Xenopus tropicalis: one gene and its partners. The protein of the gene in region 1 interacts with the protein of each later gene in a pairwise test. Links are inferred from orthologs where the notes say so. Each region holds a gene or a part of one and is shown on either strand. Other genes may lie near its edges.

Region 1 (3,204 bases):
ATTGGCAATTTGAAGTATCACTATGCCACCGACTCGCAGTTGCAGGATGAAACCAGTTCTTGGGTAGTAGAACGATATGAATGTTTTTTTGCTTGCATTCTTGTTGTGAGGTCTCAAGCATGCCTTTATATTGTTTGGTTTAAGAAAGTAGCCCTTGGTCCTTGACTATAGCTATCAATTGAAAAAGAAGTAGTAATTCACAGCAGTTTTTTTTTTTTTTGCCACTGAAGGTATTGGTGATAAAAATACCTGGTATGCGATATCCCATACTACACTTGAAGTTTAATGCTCTACTTGTACTATTTGGGCCCCCTGCACTACAGCTTGATTACCATAGGCTGTGCATGTTAAATGGTCAAATACCCACACTACAAAACTTTTATAACCTTTTCCCTAAATGTTCTATTAATACATCAGTATTATATTCATTATTATCATGGAAAGCAATCTATGGCACAGGCATGACCTTTGATTTAGGTTTCAAATCAAGGTGCAAGGGGTCATGCTTAATACAATCCCATACACATTTTTATTTAAAAAAATAAAAATAAAATATTACATGGTAAGAAGATATGGTTTGTATAAATAACATATAAAAGCATAATTTTGAAATCCACACACCTCTAGTTAAATATAAAAGTTTGATTCAAGTAAATTTCCAATAATATTACTAAAAAGGTTATAGTACAGAACGATATTTACAAGCAAACATAATCCACACAGCACAAGCAGCTTCTGGATATGTGTAAACTCGTACACGAACAGCAAGCCTCATCTGGTCCCCACGACAGCTGATTATCTCATCACAAAAGGGAGACCTGTGAAATTTAGGAGGAAAAAATTAAACCATTGAGCGGTGGTCAGGACATCTGTAACTAAGGAGTGACAGCTACATTAAGCTCTGTACCCAAAAAGCTTTTCTTGGCGTTTCCCTGCTCAGTTTCAGACAACCTCGGGGTTATGTAAAAAAATGCACTGTTTGCCCTGGAGCAGTAACCCATAGTAACCAATCAGCAGGTAGCATTTACTGGTCACATGTATAAAAGCAAACATCTTATTGGTAGCGCTTTACTGCACCTGGGCAAACATTTAGTGTCTTACATTACATATCGGGATTGAGTGTCAGAAATGAAGCATGGAGTTGACTTCCTGTAGTCTACAAAACATCTGCACCCTATATTTTACCTCATTATGAAAGTGCTAGAACTGGCACTTTCAGGTAATTCTTACGTGAAAACATTTGTTTTCATATCAATGGACTATTGCCTGAAAAAACAGCAGAACTGGCCCATATTTTTCCACAGCAAAAAACATGGTGAGCAAAACACCTGAAAATCACCCCGTATGGCACAAGCCTTAAACTGTTGAAGATTTGTTTACTGTAAGATAAACAAAAGATGTGGAATTTAAGCTTCAGCTTAGTACTTACAACATGGGAACCATAGAAGGTAAGGCATCCATTATCCAGAAAGCTCTGAATTACGGGAAGGCCATCTCCCATAGACTTCATTTTAATAAAATTATTCAAATTTTGTACAGATATGGGACCTGTTATCCAGAATGTTCGGGACCTGGGGTCTTCCGGGTAAGGGATCTTTCCGTAGTTTAGATCTTCATGCTTTAAGATTACTAAAAAATTGTTTAAACATTAAATAAACCCAATAGGCTTGTTTTGCCTCCAATAAGGATTAATTATATCTTCGTTTGGATCAAGTACAAGGTACTGGTTCATAATTACAGAGAAAAAGGAAATAATTTCTAAAAAATTAGAATCATGTGTTTAAAATGGAGTCTATGGGAGATGGCCTTTCCGCAATTCTAAGATTTCTGGATTACAGGTTTCAGGATAACGGTTCCTATACCTGTACTTGATCCCAACTAAGATATAATTAGACCTTATTGGAGGCAAAACAATCCTTAATTAAAGTTTAAATAGTTTAGCAGACTTAAGGTATGGAGATCCAAAGTACGGAAAGATTCCTTATCCGGAAATACATCTTCCTAGCAGATGTATTAGAGATAATTCAAAAAAACTGACTGCAGCACAAACAAAATCTAACAAAATAATGGACTTTTACAAAAATCCTGCATGTAGAGAAACAGGATTTCTGTTAGACAGTTACTTGAAACGAGTGAGCTCTAATATATCTTCTGGGCAGAGAATGCAACACCCCCCAAAGTATGTATTAGACCTAACTGCCAATTAAAATCTGACTCCGACTCATGCATAAAGAGAGACAGATGCTGAGAGGGAAACACAAAATAGTACTTGATTATTTCAGAAATGATACACAATTTAATTAATTATATTCTGAAAATATCTGAAAAATGGGAGGGGGTTGATATCACTCCAACTTGCAGCTCAGCAGTAAAGTGTGACTGAAGTTTATCAGAGCACAGGTCACATGGTTGTAGCACCCTAGGAAATGAAGAATATGGCTAGTCCCATGTGAAATTTCAAATTTAAAGGAAAAAGAAAGGTAAAGTCACTTGGGGGTGCCAAAATGTTAGGCACCCCCAAGTGACTTTAACCGCCTACCTTTTACCCCGGGCTGGTGCCGCTGTCAGGAGAAAATAGCACCAGCCCGGGGTAGCTGCCGGCGCTTCCTCCTTCCGGCTTCGCTGCGCGCGCATGCGCAGTAGAGTGAAAAGCCGAACTTAAACATTTAAGTCGGCTTTTTCGCTCTACTGTGCATGCCTGGCCACCGGCAGTTTAGGAAGTGGAAGGCGGAAGGAGGAAGCGCTGCGCTCCAGGTGCCCCGGGCTGGTGCTATTTTCTCCTAACAGGGGCACCAGCCCGGGGTACAAGGTAAGCGGTTAAAGTCACTTGGGGGTGCTTAACATTTTGGCACCCCCAAGTGACTTTGCCTTTCCTTCCCCTTTAAATATAAAATAACCTGGGGTTTTGAAAGACTGATTTCAGTGCAGGATTCTGCTGGAGAAGCTCTATTAACTGATGTGTTTTGGAAAAAAAAAAAAAAAAATCATGGTTTTCCTATGACAGTATTCCTTTAAGACAGATTCATGGGCTGAAGAGGACACAGCTGGAGGGGAAGCCGGAGGAAGCAGGACGACGCTGGGGGGAGCAGGCCATAGTATGAAGACACTGGGGGAGCACCAGCAATGTTTTAGGGGTCCCTGGGCTGGCTAGCAATGTTTTAGGGGGTCCCTGCCCTGGCACCAATGCAAAACATAACCCCTGGC
Region 2 (3,500 bases), on another chromosome or scaffold:
GTTCCTCAATGCCATCTTCCATTTGCTCCACCTGCTTCTTCTTTTGTCTCTCTAAGAAAAGATATAGAAACCCAACACATTTATAGAGCCCAGTGCAAGGGTATATTTGCAGGTTTTGTTTCTAGGGCAGATTAGATATCCAGCTATCAAAGAAGGTTCTCCAGGCATCATATATGGAAGAACATTAATGTAGATAAATTCATGGAAACGTGGGATTTCCACAAACAAGTATCCTTTGTTGATCTGCAGACACTCTCAGCCTTCAAGTTATATAATGTTATGAAAGCTGTAATCACTACTGGTGGACAGCATTATATAAGAACTTTACTGTGAAGTTCAATAGCAAAACTCCTCATAATTGACACCCACTTCCAGAAAATATTTTACATTTATTTTATCTATTTTTGTGACTACCTAATTTTGGGGAAATTGACCCACTATTCTTTTTCTGCTGGAGGCTAGTAAGGACCCTCACACTCTTTTGTATATAGCTACGGTGTAACAAACACAGCAGCTCATTCTGATATTTCTGTTTAGAAGTTAGGACCCCTTTAGTACATGATGCTCCAAAGAGGATTCAACATACCAATTTCTGTTATTTCAGGGTGTCTGCGCTGGATGTGTCCCTGAAGGTAGGAATAGTTCATGAAGGCTTTATCACAGAGCTGGCACTGCAAACAGAAGTGAAAAGGAACATTCCTGAAATTCATGCATAACACTTGGCGCCCCCACCCCCCAAAAAGAAGCCCCAATGCACTTAAAAGAAACCCCCATACTATAGACTTTTAAACCCAAGTGGATCCAGAAGAAGCGTATGAAATGCAAGCAATAACTCATACTAAGAGGTGCCAGAGGGATGTATATTGAAACGTCTGCAGTTACAGAGTCCTAAGTGGTGGGAGGAAAGTTCACCAGATGATGTCCTGGGATCCCCCTGAGGATGTCTTGGGGTTCCAAATGATTTCCAAAATAAAACTGCATAATACTATATACAGTGAAATCTCAATTTTAAATACCCTGATCTTAAGTTTTCCACAGCATTTTGCGGTCCCACTAGTTTATAATGCATTTCACAATGGGTGTTTTTCCTCAATTTTACATAATGTTTTCCTGGATTTTAATCCAAAACCTTGTCATGGTTCTGTCTGTATATAGTCAATTCCAATGAGTCTGCACCTTATACAATTATGCACAAATGACTTACTGCTTTAGGATGTGCCTCTGCCTGTCAGCAGTCTTGCACTGGCCCCGTCCTGCACTCATAGGGGCTGATTTACTTACCCACGAACGGGTCGAAATGAGTCCGATTGCGTTTTTTTCGTAATGATCGGTATTTTGCGATTTTTTCGTATTTTTTGCGATTTTTTCGGCTTCTTTACGAATTTTTCGTTACCAATACGATTTTTGCGTAAAAACGCGAGTTTTTCGTAGCCATTACGAAAGTTGCGTAAAATCTGGCGATTTTTCGTAGCGTTAAAACTTGCGCAAAAAGTTGCGCTTTTTTCGTAGCGTTAAAACTTACGCGAAACTTTGCACCTTTTAAGTTTTAACGCTACGAAAAATGCGCAACTTTTCGCGTAAGTTTTAACACTACGAAAAAAGCGCAACTTTTTACGCAACTTTCGTAATGGCTACGAAAAACTCGCGTTTTTACGCAAAAATCGTATTGGTAACGAAAAATTCGTAAAGAAGCCGAAAAAAACGCAACAAATACGAAAAAGTCGCAAAATGTTCGTTTTCAAGTCGGAACTTTTCCAATTCGGGTAGGATTCGTGGGTTAGTAAATCAGCCCCATAGTGTAACATTAATGCTGCACTGCTTAACCCTAGTTTAAATATTTAATTTAAAATTAAAACAGACTCCTGTGCTTATATCTTTTGAGTACTTGAAGAATGAGTTGCTTTGTCACATTTCCAAGATTTTCCACAATTTTTTCCTGGTCTCCTGAAAAACGTAGTATGGGGGTTCCACTGTATGTGGGACACTACTCAAAAGAAAAAAGCCTGTCAGATTCATTGCATAGACTCACCTTATGATAGTTGTTAGCTCCAGCCTGTAGTAGCATTTGTTGAGTAGCAATCATCTTTTTTCTTCTCTTGCTTTCCTCCTTGACTTTTTTCATCTCCTCAGCCTGTTTGGCCAGCTCATCCTTGGTGCGCTCATGTTCAGCCTCTGCCTCGCCCAATCTCTCCTCTAGCTGGGCCTCCCTGCTGTGTATGTGCTCTTGGCAATACAGTAGGTATTCAATGATCATTTGTGCCATCTTAAGAACCTTTAGGAGCACAGGGTCGACCGGCTGCTGACAGTAGGGGCACTTCTCCCCTTCTAGATTGCAGAAGGTTATGGAGTTAATGCTCTCCTGAAGCGTGTTTATGTCTACCTCTCGTGTGATTCTTTCAGTGTCAATGGCACTGAACCGCCTCCAGTCGATGCCATCTCTGCGCGGCTGAAATCTAAAGGTTGGCATAGCAGTGCTTTGCAGTGTTGCAACCACATAGGGAAGCGATGAATACTGTACAGGGGAAGAGTGGTATCCGGGCATCTTCAGTGAACGTGTGCTGAATGATAGAGATGGCAATGGATAGTAAATGTTCTGGAACAACGGCTGCAAGAGATATATCAGAGTGTTAATTGCACTTAGTTGCACTGTATTAATGCTGCTAACTAGATAATACAATGCACAAAACATACTAGTCCTACCATTTAAGAGTGTGGGCTGGGTGTCTCAGTGGATCTCCCTGCAAGTACTTGCAAGGGGAGTGTACATTGTATAAGATCAGGTTGCTCTCTTTTCCCTTAATGCTTGCAGAGTTTTCAGTGGCTGACAAATGCAGAACTTAGGAAAAATCAGTGGCGCTATAAGTTTTGAACCACAGAAAAGCTTCATATTTGTTGCTTTTGGAGGCTCCAATGAAAAGAAAGAATCAGATGTAAGATGTTTTTCTTTTTGATAATTTTCTGCAATCCAGAGCACCACTGATTCCTTCTAGGGGACCTGTCACCCTAAGAAATTATTCCAAATCCTTTTGTATCATGTTGGTACAGCTAAATAAACTTTACTTACACTATAGAAATTATTGCATTTTTTTTTCTTTCAGTCTTGGAATTTACAGTCACAGCCAGCAGGCAGCCGCCATTATGTGTACACTTTTATTAAGGAAAGCTTTGCATCACCCCAAAATCTTATACCATGCCATCCAGGTGATATCTAGAAAGTGCTGAATGAAAAGTTGCCTGAGGCATAGAGGCAGGGCATCAATATATGATTGACGGCTCAGGTTTTTAAATACATTTATAACAGGTATAGATGATTAAATTAAAAAAATAATTTGGGTTTCAAGTATATTTTTTAAAGGATTTTTATTATAAAGCTATTTATGTGTGGGTGACAGGTCCCCTTTCAGTCCCGGAGCAGCTTGGCAGCTGCCTAGTTTTGACCCCGACTGTAGTTTTTTCTTTGTTTAATAAATAGGTTATATGATAAATGACCACTAGGTGTC
Region 3 (3,942 bases), on another chromosome or scaffold:
TTGACAAACTTGGCAGGTTGAGAGAAGGCAGGAGTCTTTGCTTTGCTGCAGCGAATCAACTCTAAAGAAGGTTAATACCAGGGATATCCCTGCATGTCCTCAGCACAAACTGAATAACCAGTTGCAATAGTTTAACAGACAAGCAATTAGCGGTCAAAAACTTGTATAGTGATTTGTCTATTGTTCTCTGCTAGTACCAGCAGCACTGGGAAACAAGCAGCTTGTTTCTAAACTAATTTAAACTCCAAAAGGCCACAGAGAATTGAAAGCGTCCAGATTTTACACTTGCCTGATCTCATGCGAACCCTGCGGATATACTTTTCACCCAAGAAGTTTCTTATTTCCACAAGAGATCCATTCTCCTGAATGACAACGTTGATGGGAAAGTGAGCATACACAGATCTCATTTTGTAACGAAAGCCCTGTAGTCAGAGAAAGAGGCAGAAATTTGATTATGAAGAGGGAATAGAGCAAAGCTTCCTGCCAAATTGTTGAATGTTATAAAACCCAGCCACACAGTGTGACTATAATACATGCTTGATTGCAATTATTTGTGAGAGGTGACAATTAGTGGGCTTATGGCACACATCACAAACTGCTATTGACATTTAACCAACCACTTGTTAATGTGTATACAGGTTTTAGCCCAAATACATATTGGCAGAAATGACAGGCAGTTGACTCTAATGTCAGTCTGCAGAGACACTTTTTTCCTCTGTGTGCAATATGCCTTATAAAACATCTGCACTTTCCTGCCAGGAAATTCCAGCAATTCTGAAAAATAAAACCAACCAATAACTGACATAATAACCAGACAGTAATTACATCAGTGAGCCTTTAGTACAGGTATATGGTACCTGTTATCCAAAATGCTTGGGACCTAGTGTTTTCCAGATAAGGGATGTTTCCATCATTTGGATCCCCATACGCTAAGGCTACTTGAATCATTTAAACATTAAATAAACCCAATTGGATTGTTTTGCATCCAATAAGGACAGCAGGCCTTCTGGACCTGTACAAAGCTAACCAATTACGCTGAGAAAAATGTTACCACCACTTACCAGTGTGACTCCTTTCACCATGTTTTGCACATGACTGCAGATGGTGCGCACTGTGGCCAGTTCTTTTCTGTTACCCCACCATTTGTCAACCCGGAGCTAAGAGTGGAGAGAAGAGGGGGGGGGAATCAAACTACATCAGTATCTAGAGACATTACTCAAGCCTGAAGGCCAACCTGGGAAAGGCACTTTTGTCTGCTCTACATGATGCTTATGGATAATAGGCTTACATTGAAACCTTATGTGAGGCCCTAACCAAATACTGGACTACAAGGAGTGCGGCGGACTTGAAGACAGTCTAAAAAAAATATATATGAAAAAGTTTCCCTGCAGTCCCAAATTTAGCCATATGCAGCTTAAAAAAAAAAAAAAAATCACTATATGCTCCACACTAAAGTTTACATTAACAGGTCAATCACTATTAAGGTGGCCATACACGGTGCTGATTCTAGCTGCCGATACCTGTCCCTTAGACCGATTCGGCAGCTTATCTGCCCGTGTATGGCCACTAACGATGGGCCTGCCCGACTGACATCTGGCCTGAAATCGGGCAGGTTTGAAATTTAGTCGGATCGGGGCCACATCAGCTCGTTGATGCGGTCCCCTAACTGGCAGCCGCCCATACCCGTTGTCCTAAACCGAATTAGCCTGATATTGCCCACCCATAGGTGGGGATATAGGGATAAGTCCTGCTTGATTTGCAACCTCGCCAAGCGAGCGGATCTTAGCATGTAAAGCCACTTTAAGGATAGATCAGCTTGAATGTTATTTTGTAGCTGGATTAACCAAACATTCTAGTATAAAACATACAAAAAAACCATAACTTTTTTTGCTAGAAAAAATACATTGGACCATAAAATCTATAAAACTTAACATAATACTAGTACCTTAAAGGACAAGGAAAGGCTAAGTCACTTGGGGGTGCCAATATGTTAAGCACCCCAAGTGACTTTAATCGCTTACCTTGTACCCCGGGCTGGTGCCCCTGTTAGGAGAAAATAGCACCAGCCCAGGGTACCCGCAGCTTCCTTCTTCCTGCTACGTTTTGCTAGGACCCCACAACCGGGGCATGCGCAGTAGAGTGAAAAGTCGACTTCTCTGTTAAAGTTCCACTATTCACTCTGCTGCGCATGCCCCGGTCGTGGGGTCCTAGCAAAACGTAGCAGGAAGAAGGAAGCGCTGCGGGTACCCTGGGCTGGTGCTATTTTCTCCTAACAGGGGCACCAGCCCGGGGTACAAGGTAAGCGATTTAAGTCACTTGAGGGTGCCTAACATTTTGGCACCCCCAAGTGACTTTGCCTTTCCATGTCCTTTAACACCTGTGTCACCAACATACCTAACCCACCATCATGCCTACATCCTGGACATTACCCTCTCTCAAGCACCTGTCCCCCACAATTACAACTTATTCAACAGTTTTAAAAAAATGTATCTACTCACCCTCCTCTTCTTCTTGCCCAGAAGACACAGCTCAACATTGATGTGGTTAAAGTTTTTCCGCAGGACACCTCTGGGCCCCTTTACAGTAACTGTACGGCCCTTCAGAGAGATGTCAACTATGAAGAGACAGTAAGTCAGAAGCGTGTAGAGAAAGCGCAAATACAAAAAGGGTCATTAGCAGAACAACTTACCATTCTCTGGGATGTCAACAATCTGGTTGCTGAGAATGGTCTTCATTCTATCAGAAATATAAAAAAAAAATACCATTATACATATAGCAATCACAAACCGCCTAAAAAATGGACACACTGACAGACATTTGTTTGACATCAATAGGCCATAGTCCTTGAACATTTACATGGGCTACACAGAAATAGCCTAATTTATTAAAATTAAGCATTTACCCAAACTGGCTCAGTGTTATAAATTACAAACTTATCCCATGCCAACAGTTGGATGCTGGGAATTCTTCCATAAAGTTCCCCCATAAAGTCCCCCACAAGCTGCAGCTATTTTTTTTTTTTTTTACAGTTATGACAAACACCAAATACAAGTCAGTATGTCAAAAGCAAAGTAACACAATGTGCTCAGCACTAAAAGTAGAAATCTCCTTAAACACACATCCACCTCTTTTGCTGCCTTCTCCCAGGATTAATGAAGCCCCACAAAACTGATGGGATATAGATCACCAGAAGAAAGGGTCCCAGGCCTACTATGAGCTGCACTGAGAGACAAAACAGCCCAACCAAGTTGTACCATCTGTGTGTGGAACCCCAAAAAGATTTTTCATAAAAGAAAACCCCTCTTACTGCAGAGAGCCATGGCTGAACTGCCATACTAGGCACTGCCAGGCCACAAGCCTCTGGAGTGTATAATCCATATAAACAGACATATTGGAACTGAAAACACTTTGCAATAATAGAATGATTCAAATCTCTCATGATTATAAGACCACAAAGCTCCATGGAAAGCCTGGACTGCGATTCAAAGCAGGCCCTAGTATTTCCAGCACCCAATGGGACCTCTACAGGGTTCCGGCAACTTATAACAGCTCTGTGGCATTTGGCAGAATTTCCACATTACTAGTCGGGGCCTTGGAACACGTAGCCTATAAAGTGCCTTAGAAAACTGCAAGGCAGCTTAGGGGCGGGCAACAAATATCCCTTATCCTCCGCTCCCTTTCAGCAAAGTGACAACATATAAAGATCGGGAGAGGGAGAAAACACTGCACATTCATAAAACGGTAACGGATGACAAAAATAGCCTCTCTCTCCCAGGATGAAATGAGATTGCAGAAGCTCTCTCGATAAAGCCGCCATATCCTCACCTCGCAGCTGACAGAGGAAAGGGAAAGCGTGTGTCGTCATTACGTTTTTATATGGCCGGAGCGCACCGCCTGGATGGGACGTAAAGAACGCAGACCCGATCAATAGATTGCTTACAT
Region 4 (3,947 bases), on another chromosome or scaffold:
TTCTATATTATATATAAAGCTGGCAAGCTTTTTTTTAATAATGGCTGCTGTTATAAAAACGATTGAGCAATAAAATAAAGGGCTGTTGTTACAATTAAGCAAAACACACTTTCCCTGACCGGGAATCGAACCCGGGCCGCGGCGGTGAGAGCGCCGAATCCTAACCACTAGACCACCAGGGAAGGTTGTATGTGAAATTGCCAGATTTATTTTTCCAAATCGCCAGTCAGTTCTAAAACCAGTGAAATACTAGTCCAAACCCACTTTGAAAGTAACCCAAAAATAGCCCAATGTGCAATGAAAAAAATTCTACAAAAATAAAAGTACATATGGGAAAACCTGCCTTTTTAAAGCATATAATCACTACCCAGTTACTGGAATGGCTGATAATTCCCTGCCCTCTGTGCCCAGTCCAGCTGGGAAGTCGCTACAGAAATAGATTCAGAATCTTGCATTAACCCCAGACTTATAAATATGGGTGCGTTCAACTACAACTCTCAGCAGCCCCAAGATAACTACAGACCTGCCCCCACATCACATACCCTATAGAGCAGGGAGCAGAACATACAGGTTGAGCCTGAAAGAGCAAAAAGGAATAGAAAACGGAGCCTCTGGCTAAACTGCCCAATTGCAAGCTGGGTATTGTAGTTTTATATTACTCCTAGTTGTAGGCTAATTGTTAGCTACAAACTACATTACCCAGCATGCAGTGGAACAAGCACACTAGGGGAAAAAACTGGCTAGGTTCCAAACTACAAACCCGCCAAGGCTCCAAAAACTAGTCCAAAACGGTACTTTGGCGGGTTTGTAATTTAAAAACAAACCAGGGCTTTAAATTAGTAGCCCAATTTGGCAGAAAAACCGCTAACCTGCCACCCATGCTTGTGAGAGCAATTTTAATGCGTAAGAATAGAGAGAGACGCGAACACATTTCTGCGCATGCGTCATACTGCTGCCAATGCGTACAACCTCTCAGCCCCGCCCCTTGTTTTATTAATTACTCCGTTTATTCCGTTACAGCCAATAGTGGGCGCATATCATTTCCCGCCCTTGCTTTCGGTTTTCAGGCTGACTACGTCGTCGGCAGATTAGTTAGCTTAATGGCTAAAAGCTTAGCAGGGACTTAACCAATGAGAAGCGCCGAGCTGACGGAGTGGTTTGTGTAGGCGGGGCTTGGCCTGACGCAGGAGGGAAAGATGGCGGACGAGGAGAAGCTACCGCCCGGGTGGGAGAAGCGCATGAGTCGAAGCTCGGGTATATGGAGTGTAGCGGGCACAGTTGTTATATAGAGTTAGTGCAGCGCTGGTTTGCTTTGTAGCTGTTCCTATTTTATTGTGTCTTGCACTGTGCATAGCGTCCTGATAAAGGTGCTGTTGCAAAGCTGCAGAACTACAATTCCCACTTTGCATTGCGCATTATAGTATTTAGTCGCCTGTAAACAGACTAAGAAATGCTAAGCATTGACTGCTTCTGCTACTGTATGGGGCCATGACTGGTGCCCTAGTATCTGCACCTATCTGTTCAGTGTCATTTGTGTCAGAGTTCGATCTGTTCCTGCTTAGATGCTGATGTGTCTGTGATTAACATGGTGCCTTGTGGCTATGTATTGTATGTATCCTGCTCGGGAATGGTCTTCAGTCAGGAGCCAAGCAGGCAAGGCCCTTCAGAGATCCTTAGTGGGGCCTAAATTAGTACAGTGGCCCCTGGGAAAGGGCCGTGGTATAGTAGGGAGAGATGGTGCCTATAGTAGCAGTGGGGGGATAATAGCCTCTGGGAAGGGACTGGGGCTGTGGGATAGCAGGTATAGTAGGGAGAGATGGTGCCTATAGTAGCAGTGGGGGGTAATAGCCTCTGGGAAGGGACTGGGGCTGTGGGATAGCAGGTATAGTAGGGAGAGATGGTGCCTATAGTAGCAGTGGGGCGATAATAGCCTCTGGGAAGGGACTGGGGCTGTGGGATAGCAGGTATAGTAGGGAGAGATGGTGCCTATAGTAGCAGTGGGGGGGATAATAGACTCTGGGAAGGGACTGGGGCTGTGGGATAGCAGGTATAGTAGGGAGAGATGGTGCCTATAGTAGCAGTGGGGGGGTAATAGCCTCTGGGAAGGGACTGGGGCTGTGGGATAGCAGGTATAGTAGGGAGAGATGGTGCCTATAGTAGCAGTGGGGGGGTAATAGCCTCTGGGAAGGGACTGGGGCTGTGGGATAGCAGGTATAGTAGGGAGAGATGGTGCCTATAGTAGCAGTGGGGGGGGTAATAGCCTCTGGGAAGGGACTGGGGCTGTGGGATAGCAGGTATAGTAGGGAGAGAGAGCCTCTGGGAAGGGACTGGGGCTGTGGGATAGCAGGTATAGTAGGGAGAGAGAGCCTCTGGGAAGGGACTGGGGCTGTGGGATAGCAGGTATAGTAGGGAGAGATGGTGCCTATAGTAGCAGTGGGGGGATAATAGCCTCTGGAAAGGGACTGGGGCTGTGGGATAGCAGGTATAGTAGGGAGAGAGAGCCTCTGGGAAGGGACTGGGGCTGTGGGATAGCAGGTATAGTAGGGAGAGACGGTGCCTATAGTAGCAGTGGGATAATAGCCTCTGGGAAGGGACTGGGGCTGTGGGATAGCAGGAATAGTAGGGAGAGATGGTGCTTATAGTAGCAGTGGGGGGATAATAGCCTCTGGGAAGGGACTGTGGCTGTGGGATAGCAGGTATAGTAGGGAGAGATGGTGCCTATAGTAGCAGTGGGATAATAGCCTCTGGGAAGGGACTGGGGCTGTGGGATAGCAGGAATAGTAGGGAGAGATGGTGCTTATAGTAGCAGTGGGGGGATAATAGCCTCTGGGAAGGGACTGTGGCTGTGGGATAGCAGGTATAGTAGGGAGAGATGGTGCCTATAGTAGCAGTGGGGGATAATAGCCTCTGGGAAGGGACTGGGGCTGTGGGATAGCAGATATAGTAGGGAGAGAGAGCCTCTGGGAAGGGACTGGGGCTGTGGGATAGCAGGTATAGTAGGGAGAGATGGTGCCTATAGTAGCAGTGGGATAATAGCCTCTGGGAAGGGACTGGGGCTGTGGGATAGCAGGAATAGTAGGGAGAGATGGTGCTTATAGTAGCAGTGGGGGGATAATAGCCTCTGGGAAGGGACTGTGGCTGTGGGATAGCAGGTATAGTAGGGAGAGATGGTGCCTATAGTAGCAGTGGGGGGATAATAGCCTCTGGGAAGGGGCTGTGGGATAGCAGGTATAGTAGGGAGAGATGGTGCCTATAGTAGCAGTGGGGGGGGGGGATAATAGCCTCTGGGAAGGGACTGGGGCTGTGGGATAGCAGGTATAGTAGGGAGAGATGGTGCCTATAGTAGCAGTGGGGGGATAATAGCCTCTGGGAAGGGACTGGGGCTGTGGGATAGCAGGTATAGTAGGGAGAGATGGTGCCTATAGTAGCAGTGGGGGGATAATAGCCTCTGGGAAGGGACTGGGGCTGTGGGATAGCAGGTATAGTAGGGAGAGATGGTGCCTATAGTAGCGGTGGGGGGATAATAGTAGGGAGAGATCGTTTGCAGCTTATTGGCCCATGTACAGTGCTGCATTCATAAGTAGCACTATTTACAAAAAAATTATACATAAATGCATGTATGGTGACGAGAACTGAATTAGTGCGTTTATGTTGTCCTTGACTAATGGGTCTGCATAGGGCCATTTTAGAATCTGCTTTTTATTGGCCCAGAAGCCAGTCAATCTGAACAATCCGATCTGGCTCAGATCAAATGAGCAGATATGTTAATGTATGAGTAACGCTATGCTATGAATTCTCCTGCTTTTTTTTTTATACCCAGTTATGGCTGCTTGTGAGTATAGACGTAAGCAGGGAATAAATGTTCTTTTGACATAGCAAACTTTGGCTTTACTTTACTGCCTGTGTACTAGATACTCTTGCTGTACTTTATAATCAATATAGCTGTC
Region 5 (4,060 bases), on another chromosome or scaffold:
CAAGTACTTGACACAAAAGTCATAACAAACCAATATTCTGCTTCCTACACTGAGGTTTTGCCACAGACTCTGTACAGGAGTTGAAATGCTGATTTAGTTATATTTTCAGATTTATTTTGTTTGTTTTCTGCATTTTCCAAGCACTGCCTACTGTTGCTTTCCCTACAATAATGCAGTGCAGTTGAACCTAAGATTATTTACGAATAGGCGTCAAACCTCAAGGATATATACTTGGGAGACATGTCATACAAAGTTTTTTTCTGAATTAATTTATCCTTATGCCCAACACTATCCTACAACAATATAGCATAAACATTTCTAATAAACTTCAAAAAACTATTTTTATATGTTCTTTAAATATATTTGTGATCTAACTTCTGTATATGTGCATGCTCAGAGAAATATACCTGAACCAAAGTGGAATACAATATAAAATCAAAGCCAAATACATATTATAGGTAGAATGAAAGGTTACACTATACAAATGCACAGATAAGTTTACAGTCAAACATTGGCTTTAGCATACAAGTTACCTACTGTATATTCTGCTTAGTTAAGAGTAAGGAGAGAAGGTATTACCTTTAAATGCAGGATGCTTATAAATAATGCAGGTCAGTTGCACCGGCTCCTATTTAGCCCAGCAGCATGATCATGTTTTTAGTTGCTTCCTGCATTCAAGAGAGTTTGGTCTCCCAAACCAGCATCAAATCAGCAGTTTGGTTTTTCATTCACTGATCACTAGAAGAACAATGAACTACAATTTTTTTTTATTTAATTTTTTTTATAAAAAATAGTAGCAAAAGTTAATCGGGGCCCAGTTTATTAACCTATACTCTTTTTTTTTTTTTTACATTGTTGCAATAGCAGACACTGAATAAAATCCAGATGACTGCACATAGAAAGGACATGTCATGAAATTTTTTGTTTTTGTTTTTTTTAATTTAGCGCACTACATAAAGGTGACACACAGCATTGGACTTGTGACACAACCAAACTGTTTTTTGATGCAAATAATCTAGTTGTTTCTTGATTTTACAGGATTTCTGTACCTGCAATACTAATCTAGCTAAACCATGAGCGAACATCTTATTACTTATTCAGCTGGAAATTAATGTGCGCATAAACCCCGAGAAACATTACTGGAAAATACATTGCCTAAGAAAAACATCACAATAACGACTGGGTTAATTGTTGTGCTAAGTTACTGTGGGGAACTTGCCAAATGCCAACCACATGCTTACTGCAACCTACTTTTAACTGAACACATATATATATATTTTTCAGGTAAACAAATTTCACAATACTGCTATATTCCTCGAAGTCTGGATAGCAACAGTAATCCACAGTACTTGATTGCTCAGGCCAGAGCGAGGAAGTGTCAAACTCAGCCAGCACACCCATACACATTAGAGCATGTACACAGGAAGTGGGCACGTTTGGTGGGGGGACACACAAAGAGCACATCAGTTTCAGCAAGTAACAGACTACATACATAACACAACAGTCTAGAAGTAAAACACTATCTTGTTCAGAGATGTAAGCAAAAGAAATGCTAGTGCAATAGGATAGCTTTTGTTACAGCCCAAGGGGGATATTACTAGATTTCACCAGGGTGTCCGACCTGTAGCATTGCTTGCTGTCAGTGAATTACAACTCCCAGCAGCCTATGACAGCCTTCCGCTGCGGTGGATGTCAGAGAGTTGCCATCTTATGACAGCCAGAGGGCCACATGTTGGACAACTGAGTATATAGACTGGATAAGAAGCAAATGCAGCACATTTCTACCATCTTTATATAAATATATATACATACATGTTTTCCTGCCATCTTTTTAAAAAGCAATGCTGCCAGCCCCCCTGCAGAGCAGCCATAGTTCCAGCCACAGCCCTTCCCTGGAAATTAACACTGTTTATGAACAAACATACACACATCTACACAACAGGAACATTATACACATCCTGGGTTGCACTGAAGGCGACAGCATTGCCCTGCAGGCAGTTTGTGTAGCAAGACTACTGGGATGTGATTGATTTTTGGCGCATTTGCATCAGCTGCAGTTTGCATGCTGCTCTCTTACCGCTACCCCTCCTGCAGAGCACTAAACAACGCCAGGCCCTGACAGGGCTGTAACACTGACCAACACCCCCATGCCTCTCAGGGTATTAGGTACTGTCCTGCTTTAACCCTGTCAGTGACATAAGGCCCCCCTGGTGCATTGCGCAATGATCGATAGGGGGAGGCTTTCTGACACCTAAAGGGTTAAAGGATTATACCAATAAATGGAAGAAGAAAAAAAAAAAAGGGCGTGGGTGCTGGCAGAGGGTGGAAGACAAAGGTTAGGAAATGGAAGTGCCGGGCGGTTTGACTTACATGGATGCAAGAGGTATTACTGAGCTGAGTCTGGAAGAGGAGGGCAGCCACCGAGTTGGGAGGGGGGCTTGGGGCCTAGCGGTGGATTACAGCCAGCTGAAGCCTCACCATCACCGAGGGGAGCAGGAGAGGGAAGGGAGAGGAAAGAAGGGAGGAGAGGAGAGCAGACACAGAGGGGGAGAGGGTGGGAGGAGGAGGTGGGGAAGGATAAGGCTGCTTTTGCTTGTAGTGTTGCTGCTGCTGCAGATTCAGCCCATTGATTGCATGGAGGGATGGGAGGAACCGGCTGCTGCTGATGGTTGGCAGGAGAGTAGTGCTGCTGCTGCTGCTGCTGCTGCTGTCACCTTGCTGCCACCCTGGGATGTGGGTACTGCTGCCGCTTGCAGGATAACTGCCTCGGCTCTGCAGTCTTCAGCCTCGGATCATTCTCCTGTGCATCAGCTGTGTGTGTGCCCGTCTCTGTCTCTTCCTCCCCTGCACACAGTGAGCAATGGCTCTTCCTCCCCTGCCCAAAGCGATCCTCCCTCCTGCCTTCTCTTCCTTTCTCCAGCCGCTGTCTATGGGTTTCCCTCTGTGCCTCTTACACCCTGCCTCCAGATGACCACCGGGTCCTACCGCCCGCAGGCTTCAAAGCTGCAGCTCAGCTAGGAAATCCATCAGAGCACAAAGGGAGGAGCCTGAGCGCTGCGTGAGTAGCCAGCAGCCAGGTGAGACTTAACCCGTGTGCTGCTCTCTCCGCCAGCAGTGTGGGCTTTAGCTACAACGCGCTTTCAACGGGGCCTCACTCTTCACTATTCTATGGAAGGGCATTGACTAAAGTCGCTACGTGTATGTATATTGACACAGAGCAACTTCTATTCTATAAGCAGGCAAATACACACGCAGTAATGCAGTGCAGGAAAATCAGCTAAAATTCTTTGTTAATGTACATATAACCACCCTAAGCTTTGTATTTAACTATTGGTATTTGGCTTTTGCAATATGTGAGGGAAGTTAATAAATATTTAGGAAAACTGCGAGGCCCTGTTATCTGTATGACATAGGACTCTCCCTGAGAGTGCTGGGAGTTGTACCTCAAAGCCACATTCTTGCCCTATTATAAATTCAATTCAATACTATTTATGCTGTGTTCCTGGGCCCACTATAACAGGGTTGCCCCAGTATGGTTTTTGTAGTAATATAGTAAATAATGTATCCCCTTTTGCAACTCTGGACTGGGAGTCAAAATAGGCCCTGGTATTTTAGGTGCATAGAGGCCCAAGCAGCCCCCACCACAAGCGCAATCATTTGTGACTGTCTATGGCGACATTTGCCAGAATCCAAAGATTTCCAACCTGGGCCTGCCCTATTGTTATTCAAAACAATATTAGAAGCCACACAGGAGTTTGTTTCCATATAAAAACATAAAACTGCATGCCAGGTGCTTTTATAAAAGACTCTTGCAAATAACAATGGATGATGCATTATCATTTTTTAAAGGAGACATACTGGATAAATGGGAAAAAAACCTAATTTTGTAGGCAATTCCAAATAATATATGGTGCTGGTTTCATGGCTGGATTTCAAAACTCACCGCCCCCAGGCTGTCCCCGGTCCCACGCCCCCCCCCCCCCCCCCAGCGGTAGTGTGCAGGCGCACGGGGGGTGCGCGCATGCGCAATCAGCGGGGACAAGCATGCGCCGTGGGCCAA
Region 6 (3,500 bases), about 90 Mb from region 1:
CTTAGTGCCAAAGTATCCAATTTTTTAATCCAAAAGGTTTCCCGTTGGAGGAGCAGTCTAGACCTGTCGCCCCCTCGCTTTGGCATCGGAACATGGTCAATTGCAATATATCTAAATGTAGGTAATCTATGTCCAAACTCCAGGAAATGTTTAGCCACCGGTTTTATCGATTTATTGTCCCGATATGCTATATTAATGGCTGACCTGTGGGCATCCATACGAAGGCGCAACATGAGATCTGTTTTACCCATGTAGGATAACCCACATGGGCATGTAACCAAGTATATTACATGGGTTGTCGTACATGTAATGTGGTGACGTATCTTATATCGTTGTCCCGTATGGGGATGGGAAAAACTACCCCCAGGGGTCATAAAACGGCAGGACATGCATGAGGGACACCTAAAGCACCCTTGTTTGCCATTGGGTAACCAAGTAGGGGAACCTTTTTTAGGGAGGTAACACTTTACTGGATCACTCACCACTAACAAATCCCTCAGATTCTTACCCCTACGGTAACCAATAGTAGGTGGATTTGGACACAACCTACCCAATGTATCATCTGCCCTAATAATGGCCCAATTGGCTCTTATTACAGATGCAGGAAAATGCGAGCAACAACTATTGGAAATGAAAACCAGATTTTTACAAAGAGGTTACGATGAGTCTGTATTGAGATTGGCTCTAGCTAAAGCTAAGGAGGTGGTAAATGGTAAACGTAAGAGAGACAACAATCAGAGTGTAAATCTTGTTTTTTCCACTAGTTACAATGAAGTGACTCATAATTTGGGGAAAGTAATAAGAGCCAATTGGGCCATTATTAGGGCAGATGATACATTGGGTAGGTTGTGTCCAAATCCACCTACTATTGGTTACCGTAGGGGTAAGAATCTGAGGGATTTGTTAGTGGTGAGTGATCCAGTAAAGTGTTACCTCCCTAAAAAAGGTTCCCCTACTTGGTTACCCAATGGCAAACAAGGGTGCTTTAGGTGTCCCTCATGCATGTCCTGCCGTTTTATGACCCCTGGGGGTAGTTTTTCCCATCCCCATACGGGACAACGATATAAGATACGTCACCACATTACATGTACGACAACCCATGTAATATACTTGGTTACATGCCCATGTGGGTTATCCTACATGGGTAAAACAGATCTCATGTTGCGCCTTCGTATGGATGCCCACAGGTCAGCCATTAATATAGCATATCGGGACAATAAATCGATAAAACCGGTGGCTAAACATTTCCTGGAGTTTGGACATAGATTACCTACATTTAGATATATTGCAATTGACCATGTTCCGATGCCAAAGCGAGGGGGCGACAGGTCTAGACTGCTCCTCCAACGGGAAACCTTTTGGATTAAAAAATTGGATACTTTGGCACCAAGAGGTCTAAATGAATATTGTTCCTTCAATTGTTTCTTACCAACGAGGTAAAATGATATTATATGTCAGTAATGGTGTTTATTATGTGCATTGATAGTTTTCCCTTTAACCCTGAATCTCTGTATGGATCATGCAGGGTAGGGGTTAATGAGTAGGGTTGTGGCTATGCTGTGGGGGGAGGGGTTACTTTGGTATTGTATAAAGCTTCATTATGTGTTTGTTTTTTCATGGTTTAACATCTTGATAAAGGTCCTAGACCTGGACCGAAACGTTGATGTTTTTAATGCAACAATAAATGAATTATAAAGGATGAGGAGTGCGCATTGTCAATTGGAATGTATATATATATATATATATATATATATATATATATAGATATGTAGATGTTGATTTAATAAACACCTTTTGCTTCACATAAGACTTGTGAGTGCAGGACATTTCTATTTGCTACTATTCCTATACTTTTTGGACTGCACCCAGGCATGGCTACTGCTCTATGACGTGAGTGCCTGTCTACAAGCTGAATATATATATATATATATATATATATATAAGTTTATCGCAATAAACTTGTGATAATTTTACAGGGTGTGCCAGTCATTAAATGTTTACAGTGAGTAATCAAACTTGGCTGTGCACCCCGCAAGATATATATTTTTGCATTAGAGTGCAAGGACTGATATATGGATCATATATCCATATATCCATATACCCATCCTACGGTTCGGGGGCTGCATTAACGAGCCGATGCAGTCCCTGATCTGACTAGATTTTTTAACCTGCCCAATCGATATCTGGCTGATTTCAGGCCAGATTTCGGTCGGGCAGGCCCGTTGGTAGTGCCCATACATGGGCCGATTAGCTGTCGAATCTGTCTAAGGGACCAATATCGGCAGCTAGAATCGGCCCGTGTATGGGCACCTTAAGGTCTACTAAATAGCCAATTAAAGCCCATATTTTGCACCCCCAGGAAATATTTTTTTATGCTTGTGTTGCTCCTCAAATTATTTTACTTTTCAAGGTCCCCGGGAGCCCACTGTTGCAATATGAGTTTAGTACTGTACACTGCTTACCTTAAAGTTGTGACTGACTGCAGTTTCAAGAGACACCAAACATTCAGCAAACTTCCCCTGGCCGTAGTGAATCTGCGCCATGAGGAGGTGGAAATCCGCACAAGCAGAGTCTAATTCTATACAGCGCTGCAGGCTTCCTTGGGCTCCCTCTAAATTTCCTGCAAATGATACAGTAATACAGATTACAGTCATGTATGCATCAGACATATCTATTTCTATGGGATACCCTATAAGCTGATGCTCACTGTCCCACTTGGCATTAAAGCACAGCCCGTGTTCTGCGCTGATCACATTGGTTCTGGGCTCATCAGTGCAGCACAGGGTTTCTAACCATGATCAGTATGTACAAAGCCAAGGAAATGGTGCACAAACGAAAGCTTATTTACAAACTGAGGCACAAATACACACAAATAAATCACAGTTTTTTTACCCACTATGCATTGTTTTTCCCATATATTTTTTTTTTGTTGATTAGGGAGAAAGCAAAGCTGGGCATGAACCCTGATTTTGGCCCAGTAACTTTTGTGATGCTTACTGAGTATTTTGCCAAGAAACTTGGGAGCACCCAGTTTGCAATGTCGGTATGTGGGAGGCACTAAGCATTGGACAAAGTCCGGTGGAAATGCTATAATTTCCATGTATAAATCATACATCTATACAATGATACATGAATACAATGATGACATTTCCTTGAGATTGTTTTTACATGATGCAGAACCCTACTATCAAATTTGGTCTGGCCCAACAATACAGTGCATCTTACTTTACATGTTGTTCATTTGTAAGAAATAGAGGTGATTGGTGGATAGTGCCACCAGGGTATTTTCTGTGTGCATCTACAATGGCAAAGGATTATTATAATGTGATATAGAACATTCCATCTACACTTACCTGATAGGTACTTAATCTGGGCCATGTAGTACAGAGGTTCTGTCAGGGCTGGTGCCACACTGACCACAGGGGTGAGAATGGACAGTGCTTGTTTCAGGAGGGGTGACAGTGGCTCCCCTGGGGCTTTGGGCTTGGACACACAAAGAT
Region 7 (3,480 bases), on another chromosome or scaffold:
CGGCATGACAAATCGATTGCGCAATTTCATCACGCGGGCTAGTCGCCGTGACTTTTCAAAAAGTCGTGCCGACTAGTCGGCCCATGTGTCTTCGCCCCTTATCGTCTGGCAAAAATTTATAACAATGTGTCTAATCAATGTCCCAAATGTAGAGCAGACGTTGGCACTTTGTTTCATGTCTTTTGGATCTCTCTGGGGCAAGGTGTTTACAATTTATTTATGATAAGCTAGCACTTCAAAATATTCGCTCTTCTGATCTGTGTCTACTAGGAGTAATTGCAGACCTACAACTTTGGTCCTATTCCAGATTATGCTATTTGCAGTTGCTTTACTATACAAAAAAGTCTACCTAAATGCAAATCACACGAACCTCCATCCATACAATTCTTTTTCCTTTTCTTTCTCTCTTATTTTCTATATTGTTTGTAATGTAAAATATGCAAAATAAAAGCTTTAAAAAAAAAAGGGGGGGGCCACATCCGGCCCACAGGCCTCCAGTTGGACAGCTTTGGTGTAGATTATGCACATTTGTGTAAATTGTTCAGCGTCACAAGCTTAAATGGTGAAATGAGCATCACATGCCCCCCCCCCCCCCTTCTTTCTCATGTGTGAGCTAGTTAGGGCACAGCATTTGTAGGCCAAAAATGCCCCACTTGAGAATAAGATTATCATGTTTTGTGTCTCTACTTTGGAGTAGGTGCCAGCAAACATGGCTATCAGGACCTCTTATTCACATCTACTAAGGTTCTGGTTAATTCTGCCAGCATATAAAATGAGGCAACCTGGACAATAAATATGTCTTTTTCTGACAACTGACTCATTATAGGCATATACTGCAGGCTACACTTGACTTTACTTGCATTGATATTAAGAATATGAGATATCAGAGCAAAATATTCAAGACTTCTGCAGCCTGACTGCTTTATTTCTGACAGGTGGTGCAGCATATAAGGAACGCATTAAAACTGGAAACAGAGTCAGTGAGCCACTTGCTTCCAGGGGAGTTTTTATTTCATCACCATTTATATGGCACCAAAATGATATGCTGTGTTTGCTTTAAAACTGTATTCTAACAAAACAAGAGATACCCAATAAACAGAAAAGGGTTGATTAGAGGGCTCTGTTCGAAGAGCTTACACACTAAAGGAAATACTGAGATAAGAAACTCATACCTTAAGTATTATATTAGCAGCGCTCATAACAAATAAAAATGATCAACAGGCATGAGTCACCTCAGATGGTTGCAAACACCAATCATCAGTTAGTCACATAATCTCGTTGACCAACTATATTTGCTACTCAACACCGTATCAGCGATATTGCGCCTAAGCCCCGCCTTCTTCAGGATTATTGCCCTATCGTGTCACGCTTTCCCCCAACAATCAGAGGTCACCGCTCAAGGGATTCTGGGAGCCTGTAAATCGGAAACAGATGAAACGTTTCAGGTTGTAGGTCGTTGCGATTGGCTGACTCATGTTGATGGGCGGGACAGTGTGGCAGTAGAAAGCGGCATGTCTGACACGGGTGGTTGGAGGGTATGTGAGGTTTCAATTAGTAACTGAAATTAAATCTGGGTGTTCAGTATTCCCGAAGTAATCTAATCTTGGGTTCATTCTAATGCACCTAAGGCGGTTTTTTCAGGGTTTTATGATAGCAACGCTGTAAAAGAGCGCACCATATTGGGACGGATTGTTACTAAGCCCTGCAGAAAATCATTTTATATTCCCTCTTTATAAACATGTGGTGTTGAAACTGCTGCCATTGCCACTGAGCGCATTCCTCCAGCAGTCAGGGGCTGCTTCCTTGGGGTCTTGTTACAGTGTTTTTGTCCTATGCAAAATGCTGCCTGTGTAGCTGTAGTATTATGGTGGGACATGCAGTTTAATAGAGAAAATATCAGTATTTGTATTCAAGCTTGTTTTGGGATATATTTTTCTTAGAACTGATTTATTTTTTAGTATTTACAGTAGTTGCAATACTGCTTGCAGTGAGAAGATACTTGAAGTTGCCTAATCTGTGGGCAGTGAGGAAACTGCATCTGCAGCAGTTGATTTATCTAAGCCATTTTGTCAATACTGGATTTAAACTTGGTAAGAAAAGCCATAAATGTGTATTTTTGTTTTCTTAGTAATCTGTGATTGGCCTTTTTGTATCCAATTAGCCACCACGTGACTGTGATGATTATTGGTCTGAATGGAAACACTGCAAGAGTCTGAGAAACCACTTCCATAATTATTACACCCATGGAAAAGCACCAGAGTGCCAGGAATGGAAGAGAGACTACATGACTTGCAGGGACTGGGAGAAAACAAAGAGTGAGCTTCTAAAGGTACAGCAGACAAATGGGGTAGGACATAAGCACCACAAGCTCCTGCACCCCCCCCTTCCTTCTGCAAAAGGGGTGGGAGTATGGTCACAATGTATTCCAGGCGGGAGGAGCAGGCTGGGCTGGCTTTCCTATTTATATTTCAAGTTTCTCATTCAAACTGTTGCCTAGTTGCTAGGGTAAACTGGAACCTAGCAACCAAAAAGTTAGATAATGAAAAAAGTACAAACAATTAAGCCCAATTGCAAATCAGCTCAGTATAGATATCACTATCTGTGTCATACTAAAAAATACTTGAAAGGTGAACTTCTCATTTAATGTTTGGCTGAGGACTTGCCTACCTTTATGATTTCTGTGATTGGATTTTATAACTTGCAAAAAGCAGAATGCTACAAATTGGGATTCCCTGGTTTACATCATGAGATTTGTTGTTTAGCACTGTTTTTTAGGTTTGCTGGTGGCTAAGTGCACTAAGACCTGATGTAATGATTCTTTTAATACAGGAAACTTTGCAACAGAGTGAAAGGACAAGGCTTGAAGGCAAGCGGAATAACTCACCCGTATGGACATTGAGAAAAAATCCCCCACCAGACTGGTATCTGCCACTAGATGATAGAAAACCTAGACAATAAAGAATTATGTATTATAAAAGAAGTTGTTGCGTTTGTCCTAGTTAAGCAAAGATGATAGTATAACTTGCAGAGTGGCAAGTGCTATTTTGCTTATTTTTTGAACGCCATTGTGAGATACTGTCGCTTTTAAAGTGGTAAGATGACTTTCCCCCCATAACCCATGTCTCTTCTGCAATTAAAGGAAATCTATGCCCCCAGAATGCATATGTAACCAAAAGATTATATTATGTTAAGTGACCAATTAAAGAATCCCTGCAAACTGGAATATATATATATATTATAGTAAATATTGCCCTTTTACTTCCTTTCCATTGATGCACCATTTAGTGATGGGCTGTGTGCTCCCTAAGATCACATGACCAGTATGGAAGCAAAAGGCAGAACTCTGTCCATTAATTGACTGATGTGACCTAGCAAGTATGTGTGCCTTGGCTTGTTTGTGTGCACTGTGAATCCTATGATCCCAGGAGGTGGTCCTTAATCCTTAAAGGAGAATGCAAGTCAAAATTTAAAAAGCATACT

Evidence for each region.
Region 2: the proteins of cep76 (region 1) and dzip1l interact in binary tests that used the Homo sapiens proteins (3 or more experiments, as listed by UniProt). The link is inferred for Xenopus tropicalis from reciprocal best matches to the Homo sapiens genes CEP76 and DZIP1L.
Region 3: the proteins of cep76 (region 1) and rpl9 interact in binary tests that used the Homo sapiens proteins (3 or more experiments, as listed by UniProt). The two-hybrid records come from large-scale screens. The link is inferred for Xenopus tropicalis from reciprocal best matches to the Homo sapiens genes CEP76 and RPL9.
Region 4: the proteins of cep76 (region 1) and pin1 interact in binary tests that used the Homo sapiens proteins (3 or more experiments, as listed by UniProt). The two-hybrid records come from large-scale screens. The link is inferred for Xenopus tropicalis from reciprocal best matches to the Homo sapiens genes CEP76 and PIN1.
Region 5: the proteins of cep76 (region 1) and akt1 interact in binary tests that used the Homo sapiens proteins (3 or more experiments, as listed by UniProt). The link is inferred for Xenopus tropicalis from reciprocal best matches to the Homo sapiens genes CEP76 and AKT1.
Region 6: the proteins of cep76 (region 1) and ttc21a interact in a two-hybrid assay, tested with the Homo sapiens proteins (2 studies listed by BioGRID). The two-hybrid records come from large-scale screens. The link is inferred for Xenopus tropicalis from reciprocal best matches to the Homo sapiens genes CEP76 and TTC21A.
Region 7: the proteins of cep76 (region 1) and c22orf39 interact in binary tests that used the Homo sapiens proteins (3 or more experiments, as listed by UniProt). The two-hybrid records come from large-scale screens. The link is inferred for Xenopus tropicalis from reciprocal best matches to the Homo sapiens genes CEP76 and C22orf39.

The regions. Positions count from the first base shown.
Region 1 is NC_030682.2:103,546,531-103,549,734, reverse strand, and holds the end of cep76 (centrosomal protein of 76 kDa), read right to left. Parts: intron 819-3,204; coding exon 680-818; 3' UTR 501-679; downstream 1-500. UniProt on the Homo sapiens protein: Centrosomal protein involved in regulation of centriole duplication. Required to limit centriole duplication to once per cell cycle by preventing centriole reduplication.
Region 2 is NC_030681.2:131,745,447-131,748,946, reverse strand, and holds part of dzip1l (zinc finger protein DZIP1L), read right to left. Parts: intron 2,606-3,500; coding exon of another isoform or gene 2,468-2,605; coding exon 2,030-2,467; intron 672-2,029; coding exon 587-671; intron 52-586; coding exon 1-51. UniProt on the Homo sapiens protein: Involved in primary cilium formation. Probably acts as a transition zone protein required for localization of PKD1/PC1 and PKD2/PC2 to the ciliary membrane.
Region 3 is NC_030677.2:36,148,172-36,152,113, forward strand, and holds the start of rpl9 (60S ribosomal protein L9), read right to left. Parts: upstream 2,801-3,942; 5' UTR 2,766-2,800; coding exon 2,690-2,765; intron 2,615-2,689; coding exon 2,499-2,614; intron 1,158-2,498; coding exon 1,062-1,157; intron 423-1,061; coding exon 290-422; intron 1-289.
Region 4 is NC_030679.2:136,780,425-136,784,371, reverse strand, and holds the start of pin1 (peptidyl-prolyl cis-trans isomerase NIMA-interacting 1), read left to right. Parts: upstream 1-1,147; 5' UTR 1,148-1,196; coding exon 1,197-1,254; exon of another isoform or gene 1,255-1,290; intron 1,291-3,947. UniProt on the Homo sapiens protein: Peptidyl-prolyl cis/trans isomerase (PPIase) that binds to and isomerizes specific phosphorylated Ser/Thr-Pro (pSer/Thr-Pro) motifs.
Region 5 is NC_030684.2:99,749,721-99,753,780, forward strand, and holds the start of akt1 (RAC-alpha serine/threonine-protein kinase), read right to left. Parts: upstream 2,801-4,060; 5' UTR 2,715-2,800; intron 2,461-2,714; exon of another isoform or gene 2,371-2,460; intron 2,231-2,370; exon of another isoform or gene 2,078-2,230; intron 2,040-2,077; exon of another isoform or gene 1,813-2,039; intron 1-1,812. UniProt on the Homo sapiens protein: AKT1 is one of 3 closely related serine/threonine-protein kinases (AKT1, AKT2 and AKT3) called the AKT kinase, and which regulate many processes including metabolism, proliferation, cell survival, growth and angiogenesis.
Region 6 is NC_030682.2:13,387,662-13,391,161, forward strand, and holds part of ttc21a (tetratricopeptide repeat protein 21A), read right to left. Parts: intron 3,484-3,500; coding exon 3,354-3,483; intron 2,621-3,353; coding exon 2,463-2,620; intron 1-2,462. UniProt on the Homo sapiens protein: Intraflagellar transport (IFT)-associated protein required for spermatogenesis. Required for sperm flagellar formation and intraflagellar transport.
Region 7 is NC_030677.2:154,205,640-154,209,119, reverse strand, and holds c22orf39 (UPF0545 protein C22orf39 homolog), read left to right. Parts: upstream 1-1,451; 5' UTR 1,452-1,511; coding exon 1,512-1,535; intron 1,536-2,161; coding exon 2,162-2,329; intron 2,330-2,829; coding exon 2,830-2,958; 3' UTR 2,959-2,980; downstream 2,981-3,480. UniProt on the Homo sapiens protein: Negatively regulates long-term potentiation and modulates adult synaptic plasticity. Stabilizes the interaction of RTN4 isoform A/Nogo-A with its receptors, inhibiting clustering of postsynaptic AMPA receptors at synaptic sites.